Linked DNA regions of Arabidopsis thaliana. The protein of the gene in region 1 interacts with the protein of each later gene in a biochemical or structural test. Each region holds a gene or a part of one and is shown in the gene's direction. Other genes may lie near its edges.

Region 1 (4,465 bases):
CAATTAGAAAGGTAACTTCTAGAAAGCCATATATCTTTGAAAATTGACCTTTAAATGATGATATGTCTCAGATCCCCATTGCAGGGCCTCCTCAAATCTACTTGCTCCAATTGGGAGAATCATAATTTCCTAAACAAATTATGAAAACACAACAATCATTACATATGTAAATGAAATTACTTGAAAACCAAAAGATTTCTTGAAGAACTTTGAGAAACAGAAACGTTAATAGTGAACTTAATGTAGAATACCTGAATGGCAAAAGTATTCGAAGCATGCTTCCCACCACTCAAAACAGTGAACGCAGGTACAGGTAACACCATGTTTGCTCTGCCACTAAGATCAGAAAGATGCTTGCACAAAGGGACCTGATAATAACTTCAATCAAAATCTCCTAACTAAAGTAGGCATAAAATACATAGGATAAGAGAAAATGTTATCATTCATACCTCTTTCTCAGCAGCTCCAGCCTTGCATGCCGCAATTGACACAGCAAGTATAGCATTAGCACCAAGTTCACTCTGCAAGATATTCAAATCAAATTAATCATGAGGAGCAATGATATATGAACTTGTTACAATCCTAATAAAAGTTCCCACCTACCTTCTTTTCAGTTTTATCCAAATCTATCATAGCCTGATCTATCTGACCCTGAAGTTTTGGGTCCATACCAATCAACGCCTCAGAAATTTTTTCATTTATGTTCTTAACAGCTTTAGCCACACTGTTTCCAAGATACATTCCTTTGTCTCCATCACGTAGCTCAATAGCTTCATACCTTGAGAATCAGTAAACCAATCTCCTCATGTCAGGCTTATCATATTAGAGAATTGTATATCAATCAGAGTAAGAATAATTCTCACGTTCCAGAAGAATCACCACTGGGAACAGAAGCACGAAAAACGCCTTTGTTCGTGTGCAGATCAACTTCAACTGTTGGAATTCCTCTGCTGTCAAGGATCTGTCGTGCTTTAACCTTCGTTATCACAGATGATACAGCTTTCTTCAGATGATTAGCCTGCACTTTTCCAATTGAAGATTCAATGAGTAATGTAACATAATTTCACTTCGATACATGTAAATCAAAATTCGAAGGAAACTTACGATGAAGAGAACGGGATCTGAGGTTTTAGCCCTTACGGCGGCATTAACGGCGTCTTCGATTTTCCGAGAAAGCATATGCTTGTCTAAATACTCTTGCACAGACATCTTCTTCTTCTTCCTCTTCCACGGACTTCTCGATTCGAATCTTCAAGCAAAATTTCGATGAACAAGTTTGAATCTGAAATTCATTTTCCGATTGACTGTATTTTTTGGTTCACGCTCCGGTTCAGGCTCCGGTTCAGGATCCAATAAGCATATTCAATCATTAAAACGATGAGTTTCACTTTACAAACACATGCTTGCCGTCTGAGGATTTTGCTAGTGCACATCACTCCGTTTTAAGTCATGCAGATTTGAAATGAAAAGAGTAAAAGCCCATTTTAGGCCCAATAAGAAGTCTCTCACGTGCGATTGCCAGGTTGGAACCGCTTTTTTATCTCTCATAAAGCACGTGCGAGTGCGACGATGTTTTAGTAACTGCTCTCCTTAATGGAATCCAGCTGTCATTCACACGAACATATTTTTTTACGAAATTCAAAAAAACTTTTTATCACGAGCCATTAATTTTTGAATTTTGCCACCCGTTGCCACCTCGATTTACGTGGCATTATCTAAACCGTCGATTCGATTTCGAATTACCAAATATTAGCCGTTAAAACCTCCTTTTCTTTATAAATGGACCCTCCTCTTCTTCTCTCTCTCATAAAACAAAAGATCCTCTCTGCTTCTCCTTTCCCTTTTTCAAAATCTCTCTCTCTCTCTCTCTTTTTAGATCCAGTTTTAGGGTTTTCTTCTCTGTGAGCGAAGATGCGTGAGATTCTTCATATTCAAGGAGGTCAATGCGGAAACCAAATCGGTTCCAAGTTTTGGGAAGTGGTTAATCTCGAGCACGGGATTGATCAGACGGGACGGTATGTAGGAGATTCCGAGTTACAGCTTGAGAGGGTTAATGTATACTACAACGAGGCGAGTTGTGGAAGGTACGTTCCTCGCGCTGTTCTCATGGATTTGGAGCCTGGAACCATGGACAGTGTCAGATCTGGTCCGTACGGTCAGATCTTTCGACCGGATAACTTCGTCTTCGGTCAGTCCGGTGCTGGGAATAACTGGGCTAAAGGTCACTACACTGAAGGTGCTGAGCTTATTGATTCGGTCCTTGATGTTGTTCGCAAAGAGGCTGAGAACTGTGACTGCCTTCAAGGTATTTGAAATCCGTCTTCCTTATTTAGGTTTTTGTCTATTTAGGTTTTTGGATCTGTAAATTTAGGTTGGGTATTGGTAGTGTATGATTGTTTTTAGGTTTAGATTTCTGATTTTGAACTGTGGAATACGGATTCGGTTTTGTATTCGTTGTTTGCTTATGGTTTTGGTTGTTTGGATTTACAGGATTTCAGGTGTGCCATTCCTTGGGAGGAGGAACTGGTTCTGGAATGGGAACTTTGTTGATATCTAAGATCAGGGAGGAGTACCCAGACCGTATGATGATGACTTTCTCTGTGTTCCCATCGCCTAAGGTGTCTGACACTGTTGTGGAGCCTTACAACGCAACACTATCTGTGCACCAGCTTGTTGAGAACGCTGATGAGTGTATGGTTCTTGACAACGAAGCTTTGTATGACATTTGCTTCCGTACACTCAAGCTTAGCACTCCAAGTTGTAAGTATTCCAATGTTCTTCGATTATGAGTCAATGTTGTTACTGTATCTGTCTCTGTGGTTTATTGTTTCAGGCTTAGTTATTGATTAGTATTGAAACTTCACTCACATATTTTTTTGTTTGTTTTCTGAATTGTGCAGTTGGTGATCTGAACCACTTGATCTCTGCAACCATGTCTGGTGTAACCTGCTGTCTTAGGTTCCCTGGTCAACTGAACTCTGATCTGCGAAAGCTAGCTGTGAATCTGATCCCATTCCCTCGTCTCCACTTCTTCATGGTGGGATTTGCTCCTCTCACCTCTCGTGGATCTCAGCAGTACCGTAACCTCACTGTCCCAGAGCTCACTCAGCAAATGTGGGATGCTAAGAACATGATGTGTGCTGCTGACCCAAGACACGGTCGCTACCTCACTGCTTCAGCCATGTTCCGTGGAAAGATGAGCACCAAGGAGGTCGATGAACAGATGCTGAACGTACAGAACAAGAACTCCTCCTACTTTGTGGAATGGATCCCTAACAACGTCAAATCAACCGTCTGTGACATTCCCCCTACTGGTCTGAAGATGGCTTCAACGTTCATTGGTAACTCAACTTCGATCCAAGAGATGTTCAGGCGTGTCAGTGAGCAATTCACTGCTATGTTCAGGAGAAAGGCTTTCTTGCATTGGTACACAGGTGAAGGTATGGATGAGATGGAGTTCACTGAAGCTGAAAGCAACATGAACGATCTTGTCTCTGAGTATCAGCAGTATCAAGATGCAACGGCTGATGAAGAAGGAGAATATGAAGAGGAAGAAGCTGAGTACGAGCAAGAAGAAACTTATTGAAGAAACAGATGATAAGAACACCTCAACTTCCAGTTGCTGTTTACTTTTAAAACTCTCTTCTATTAAGTTCTTATAGTTTCTGTAACTATCGCTTGCGTTATTAGTAGTTATGATACTCTGCGTAGGCTAAGAGGATTTATCAATCAATATTCAAACAATCTATTTTGCTAAATCAAAATCCATCCATAGTATTTTTTTTCTTTGTTTCATTATATAACCTTTTGTTAATTTTGACTATGTGAATTCGGTGAAGACTTCACCATCTTTCAAATATAAGAAGCAGAGTAGTAGTGACAATGGTTATAAGCAATATAAGAATCTTCTTGGTTAAATTTTGGTGTGGATTATGAATTTGACGAGTCAATTTGAAGGACGAATCTGGATTTAAGATAAAAATAGTATAAACTCCATAGGAGAATACAATGGTTATCAGTTGTTTTCAATGTCCATGGACCCAAATAGATCCCTCTGCCTCTTAAGCTCTTCTTCTTCAGCCTCCTCCTTACGCTTTTGTTCATCCTTATACTCAGCAACAGCCTTATCAAAAACGCTTCTCACATGTCTGTTCATTTGCATGAGCTCTTGACATGCATCTTTAAAAACCTCTCTTGCTGGATCACCTAAAAGCCACAGAGCCAACACGTTTTATGTTGTTAGACACACAGACAAAGAACTCGGATAAGAGTTATCCAAAAAGAACATAGCTTAACTCTGATGAACAGAGTTTTTGAAAAACAGTACCTGTTGTCTGGACCCGGATATTGACCTGTTCAAGGGAAGGATGTGGGATGGTGTATGCAGCCACGGTTACTCTGGGACTGCAGAATTGAAAACAGTACTGGTTATTGACATAATCATCATTGTCTACACACCAGCATA
Region 2 (6,203 bases), on another chromosome or scaffold:
GCAACAAAGGGACCAAGAATGCCTGATGGAACCAGAGGCTTCACCATGGGACGTGGCAAACCTTCCATCTCACTCTCACCTAACAATCTCTAAATAGTTACCCACCACAAGGACTGCTATTTATAATTGATTTATTATAATAGAGGTAAAAGATTTTAGAGTTAATTAACCAAATAATACATATGGATTGGTTTTCCTAAGATGCATTCAAAAGAAGCAAGGCACATGACTTGGGAGAAGATAGTGAAGGCACGGTGACGTTTTTTGAGGGTTCGTTTTATATAACTTTTTTCATTTTTTGAGGCAATTTCTTTTCTGTATGTTTAATATGTTTTATTTTTGTGAGATTATTATTTGAATAATAAAGGGGTAATTTATATAGCACAAGAATTGCAACCCTCTCAACTCTTTGTTTTGATTTAGATGAGTAATGGATTTGAATAAGTGACTGAAAGATTGGGTGAAACTTGAAAACTAATCAATTTTCTTTCTAAAGAAAAACTAAAAAAACATGATGAATAGTTTATAAAAAGCACAAGCACAAGAAAGGAAATAATCAGGTAAAATGTTACTATCTTCTTGCATCCTAACTAATTCCAGTAACTTGTATCTATTGACATTCCCAAATGGTTTTTTAACCGGTTTGATATATATTAATTTTTAAGACATATTCGACAATTCTTTAACAACCTTGAAGAAGGCGGAGTCACTTATTGAATCCATTATTCATCTCAATCAATATAAGGAAGTGGGTTTTGTTTACAATAATTGCCATTTTTCGATTGGATTTTGTTTACAAAACCCAATACTTGAAAAGACATTTTTCAATGACCTTAGATTGGATTCAATGTTGTGAAAAAAAAAAAAAAATGGATTCAATGTACAATTTTTTTCTAAAAATAAGTGAAAAGACAAATGAGTATTGAGATAACAAAAGTTCTTGCCAAGGTTGTCTAGTAATTTCATAACCTATGGTAGTTGTCAAACAAACTAATTTATAGTATCATATTAATTATAATAAATGTATAATCTTTAATTGAAACAAAACCTAATTTTACTCCCAAATTAATAGAAAACCTTCAAAGGATGGAAATTGTTGGACATGTATTTACATGAAACCAAACATGCAATATCAGTAAACCAACTTCATAGTCTATACTAAATTACGTACCGATTGGTAGATAGAAATAATGATAACTAAACTGATCTTAACGATTGGTATTGGAGAGAGATTTTCAAATCAAGAGTTAGTAAGAAAAAGAAAAAAAGAACTTAGAGATGTGGATCAAATATTTTGAAAATGATGAAATCTTATTAAAAATTGAAATTGATATACGACCTGTCCAGATACAATGAAGTTGTTAGGTTACAACATCAGCATGTTTCAAAAAGGGTCAAGCAGGTACATCCAATCAATTTATATAACGTAAATCCTGATTTTCAGAGCAATATTATTTGTATCTTTTATAACCTCCCTAGTTAATTAGTAATAAAATATTTAATTTAGTAGTATCACAAGATGGAGCTTTAAAAGTTATCTTTAATTCCCACTTTTGAAAATGATAACGTCCATAAATACATTTCAAAACGTTTTTATTCTCCCAATAAGATATCAAAAAGACAATATCAACAACAAAAAAGACAAGAAAAAAAGACAAAAAATAATGATAGATAAAATACAAAAGCAAAAGAAAACGTATAGTATTGCTTAGAGAAAGAACAAACATATTGTGAATTAAAAAGAAAAAAAAAGAGGGACAAAAGTAGAAAGACGTGGCAAAAAGCAAACTAAATTTCGACCAATCCACATCTAAAATCTAACCTTCTTCATCAGATGGAAGGAAGCTACTTCACCACCCGCAGATTCTGCCATGTGGCTTCTCTCTCTTCTACAGCTCACTTCTTCTCTCTCTGTCTCTCTCTAACTACATTGAAACCAAACCAGAGTGCTTCAATGTCATTGCTGTGATTCTCTTTAAGTCCAGACATAACTCCCATATCTTCTTCTTCTGTCTTTTTTTATTTCTTTGAACCGGAGAAGAAGAAGAAGAAGGAGAAGGATATATGGGAGGCTGTACTTCCAAACCTTCCTCCTCCGTCAAACCTAATCCTTACGCACCCAAAGACGCGGTTCTCCAAAATGACGATTCTACCCCTGCTCATCCCGGGAAATCACCGGTTCGTTCATCTCCCGCCGTAAAGGCCTCTCCTTTTTTCCCTTTTTACACGCCTAGTCCCGCCCGGCACCGCCGTAACAAGAGCCGCGACGGCGGAGGAGGAGAGAGTAAGAGCGTTACCAGCACTCCTCTCCGTCAGCTCGCGCGTGCTTTCCACCCTCCGTCACCGGCGAGACATATACGGGATGTTCTGCGGCGGAGGAAGGAGAAGAAGGAGGCTGCTCTGCCGGCGGCGAGGCAGCAGAAGGAGGAGGAGGAGAGGGAAGAGGTAGGGCTGGATAAAAGATTTGGGTTTTCCAAGGAGTTACAGAGTAGGATTGAGCTAGGGGAAGAGATTGGGAGAGGGCATTTTGGGTATACTTGCTCTGCTAAGTTCAAGAAAGGAGAGCTCAAAGATCAGGAGGTTGCTGTTAAAGTCATCCCAAAATCTAAGGTCATTTTTACAGCTTTACTTTTTCCAAATTCTCAAGTTTCCATCTTAAGTTTTCTGCTTCAATTGGCTCAAGTGCTTCATCATTGTAGTGATAGCTATATCTGACAAATTGAAGATTCTTTGTGTGTCTTGTCTGATTTGTTTAGTAGATGTTAAACTGTTTCAAGGTAGAAGAACAAACCATCATAGTCTCCTTTTGCTTCATGATGAACCTGTAATTTGATCATTACGGTCTCTTGAGATGTTTCTGTTCTTCTCTACGAGCTTACTGTCCTCTTGTTTGAGCCATCTTTTTGAAAAAATTGATAGCGTATGTAGACTTTCACGCATAGAAATTAATACAAAAACAAGTAATAGCGAACACAGATGAGGTTGAAGTTTGTCAATGACACTTATGTTTCATCCATGTTTTTCAATAGCCAAGTTTTCAATGGTTGTAGATTAGCATTGCTGACTTTTCTGTGAACATTTCTAAACGTTTTAAATTGGTCAATAAATTGGAACATGGACATTTGTGCTTTTGTCAATTGTCATTAAGCAATTGAAATTTTGATGGTCCTTATTTGATGACTAAGAAAGTTAATCATGTAATCGAGTTAGTTGGTGTAATATACAGATAGGTTTAGTGTTAGCTTAATCCACAATAGACTGTTTCTCATCAGCTTTGGTTTGGCAGATGACATCTGCAATATCTATAGAGGATGTGAGAAGAGAAGTGAAAATACTGCGGGCGTTATCTGGACATCAAAATTTGGTACAATTCTATGATGCGTTCGAGGACAATGCCAACGTTTACATCGTTATGGAGTAAGACAATCATGTGCTTATATATTCCTGTGTCATGTTGAATCTACTAGGAGAGCTATCAGATTCTTATTTTCCCGACTTGGCTTACTTCAAAATGTTTAGCTGTGAATAAACATTTACTTTCTTTCAACTTTCAGGTTATGTGGAGGTGGTGAACTTCTTGACAGGATACTAGCAAGGTCTGCTTTTAAAGATTGTTATGACATTTGTTAACTTATGGTCAGAGATCCTTCTTAGAGATGTTCTATTGGCTGTCTAACTATTTCAAATTTACTTCTCTTACAGGGGAGGAAAATACTCTGAAGATGATGCAAAAGCAGTGCTTATACAGATCCTTAACGTCGTAGCTTTCTGTCATCTCCAAGGAGTTGTTCATCGAGATCTAAAACCAGAGGTGAACCGCACTTTTTGTCTTTGCTTTTTCCTTTCAAAACCCAAAAGAAATATTGTCTTAGTTGAATACCAATCTCACATTTGAAACACTTTCATGTTTCAGAACTTCTTGTACACTTCCAAGGAGGAGAATTCTATGTTGAAAGTCATAGATTTTGGCTTATCGGACTTTGTCAGACCAGACGAAAGACTAAATGATATAGTGGGAAGTGCATATTACGTAGCCCCTGAAGTTCTACACAGATCTTATACCACAGAAGCGGATGTATGGAGCATAGGAGTCATAGCATACATTCTCCTATGTGGAAGCCGTCCTTTTTGGGCAAGAACTGAATCAGGAATTTTCAGAGCAGTTCTAAAAGCTGATCCCAGTTTTGATGAACCTCCTTGGCCTTCGTTATCCTTTGAGGCAAAAGATTTTGTTAAGAGATTATTGTACAAGGACCCTCGGAAAAGAATGACTGCATCTCAAGCTTTGAGTCAGTAATCTCTAAAATATCCACATCTTTCTATATTTATCTTCTGTTTCTAGCTTTTCATGAATCACCAGTTGAAGTTACTCCACGTTTTTTTCCGGTTTTTACAGTGCATCCTTGGATCGCGGGTTATAAGAAAATAGATATCCCATTTGATATTCTGATCTTCAAGCAGATCAAAGCATACTTGAGATCTTCGTCTTTGCGCAAAGCTGCTTTGATGGTACATTTTGCTTCTAACCTTTTTTACTGTTTCCAAACAACATTTAAGGATGTGTTTGATATTTATTACCTTTGTATCTAGTTTGCTAACTCTTTTATTCTCTCCAGGCTCTGTCCAAGACATTAACTACCGATGAACTTCTTTATCTGAAAGCGCAGTTTGCACACTTAGCACCCAACAAAAATGGCCTCATCACTTTAGATAGCATCAGACTGGTATGTGCCTTCTCTTCCTCTCTGTCTCTCTCTGGTAGAAAGCAAACAGCTCAAAGCTAGATTTATTTCTGTTGGACAGGCACTTGCGACAAATGCAACAGAAGCAATGAAGGAATCACGGATCCCGGACTTTCTTGCATTGGTATTGTCTCCTTTCTGTTCTTGTCCTTTTGCTTAATCTGTTTAAGATACAATCCAAGGTTGGTTAACGAAAGTTTGGTGTTGGGAAATGACAGTTAAATGGACTTCAATACAAAGGGATGGATTTTGAAGAGTTTTGTGCAGCTTCCATTAGCGTTCATCAGCATGAGTCTCTTGATTGTTGGGAGCAGAGCATTCGTCATGCTTATGAGCTATTTGAAATGAATGGAAACCGAGTTATCGTCATCGAAGAACTCGCTTCTGTAAGTTTATAAGAAATTCGACACTTGCTTCTGTCATGCTTAACAATTTATTCAGCTAATTCCTAAACGAAGGGAACATAAATGTTTTGTAGGAACTTGGTGTTGGATCATCCATCCCGGTTCATACCATTCTAAATGACTGGATAAGACATACTGACGGGAAGCTGAGTTTCTTGGGTTTTGTCAAACTGCTGCACGGTGTCTCGACTCGACAATCTTTAGCGAAAACGCGATGAGGAAAGTGACTCGGTGTTATAACGGATTCGAAAGAGGAAGAACATACAACTGCAAGAAGCAAATGGGTGGATTGGGGTTGGGAATTGGAATTTTTTTCAGGACCCATTCCTATGTTTATAGTGTTAGAAAAAGAATGCTAAGTTCCGACAAAGAAAGAGAGTATCCAGAAAAATCCGACAGGCCTGGAGAGTTGTATAATAAGATGATAATCCACAGTCGTGTTCTTCCAAATCATGGAAGACAGATATTAAGAACATCCCTTTCTCTTTTCATTTGGCTGTCTCCATTTTTTCCAGGAAAAAGATTCAGATTCCATTCACAATGTGCCACAAAGCAAATCATAAAAACCCATTCCTAAGTCACAAAACTTACAGTAACAGAGAGCTATTAATATTTCAAATTCGGAAAAACTTGCTTCTCAAGATTCCATAATCCATATCAATAGAAGTCATACATTTCATTCTCAAAAGGTGTTACAGAACAAACCATAAACCCATTCCTAAGTTACAAAACTGACAGTTGGGATGGCTAGGCAACAAAGTCAGCTTTTTAACATTTCTGAATCCTCAAACTTTCTTCTCAAGAGGATTGAATCTACAATGCTATCTAAAGTTCTAAACACTTGAAAGCATCTGCTTCTTACATGATAACAAAGATAGAAAGCTCCATTTTTTGACCAAGATCTGTTCATGTCTTTTACCTCGAGGAGAGTCTCTGGTGTAAATCTTCTGCCAATGCTTGCCTCAAACTCTCCCCGTAATAGTAAAACTGCCTCTCACTCTCCAAAACTCTTGCAGGCGTTCCAGCTTCATCTGGATCCTTCCAAATCTCCGGTTCA

Evidence for each region. Proteins that work in one complex are often made in the same cells at the same time.
Region 2: of the proteins of TUB7 (region 1) and AT3G19100, one has a biochemical effect on the other in vitro, tested with the Arabidopsis thaliana proteins (one study listed by BioGRID).

The regions. Positions count from the first base shown.
Region 1 is NC_003071.7:12,643,379-12,647,843, reverse strand, and holds TUB7 (tubulin beta-7 chain), read left to right. Parts: upstream 1-1,786; 5' UTR 1,787-1,911; coding exon 1,912-2,305; intron 2,306-2,490; coding exon 2,491-2,760; intron 2,761-2,900; coding exon 2,901-3,586; 3' UTR 3,587-3,927; downstream 3,928-4,465. Other genes in the region: ENOC (cytosolic enolase), read right to left, coding at 49-129, 252-368, 450-521, 604-778, 864-1,018, 1,105-1,209; RPC14 (RNApolymerase 14 kDa subunit), read right to left, coding at 4,016-4,206, 4,328-4,465. UniProt on the Arabidopsis thaliana protein: Tubulin is the major constituent of microtubules, a cylinder consisting of laterally associated linear protofilaments composed of alpha- and beta-tubulin heterodimers.
Region 2 is NC_003074.8:6,603,617-6,609,819, forward strand, and holds AT3G19100 (Protein kinase superfamily protein), read left to right. Parts: upstream 1-1,679; 5' UTR 1,680-2,064; coding exon 2,065-2,610; intron 2,611-3,286; coding exon 3,287-3,417; intron 3,418-3,554; coding exon 3,555-3,596; intron 3,597-3,702; coding exon 3,703-3,811; intron 3,812-3,913; coding exon 3,914-4,289; intron 4,290-4,396; coding exon 4,397-4,509; intron 4,510-4,616; coding exon 4,617-4,724; intron 4,725-4,803; coding exon 4,804-4,866; intron 4,867-4,960; coding exon 4,961-5,128; intron 5,129-5,220; coding exon 5,221-5,364; 3' UTR 5,365-5,679; downstream 5,680-6,203. Other genes in the region: LARP6c (RNA-binding protein), read left to right, coding at 1-93; AT3G19120 (PIF / Ping-Pong family of plant transposase), read right to left, coding at 6,062-6,203.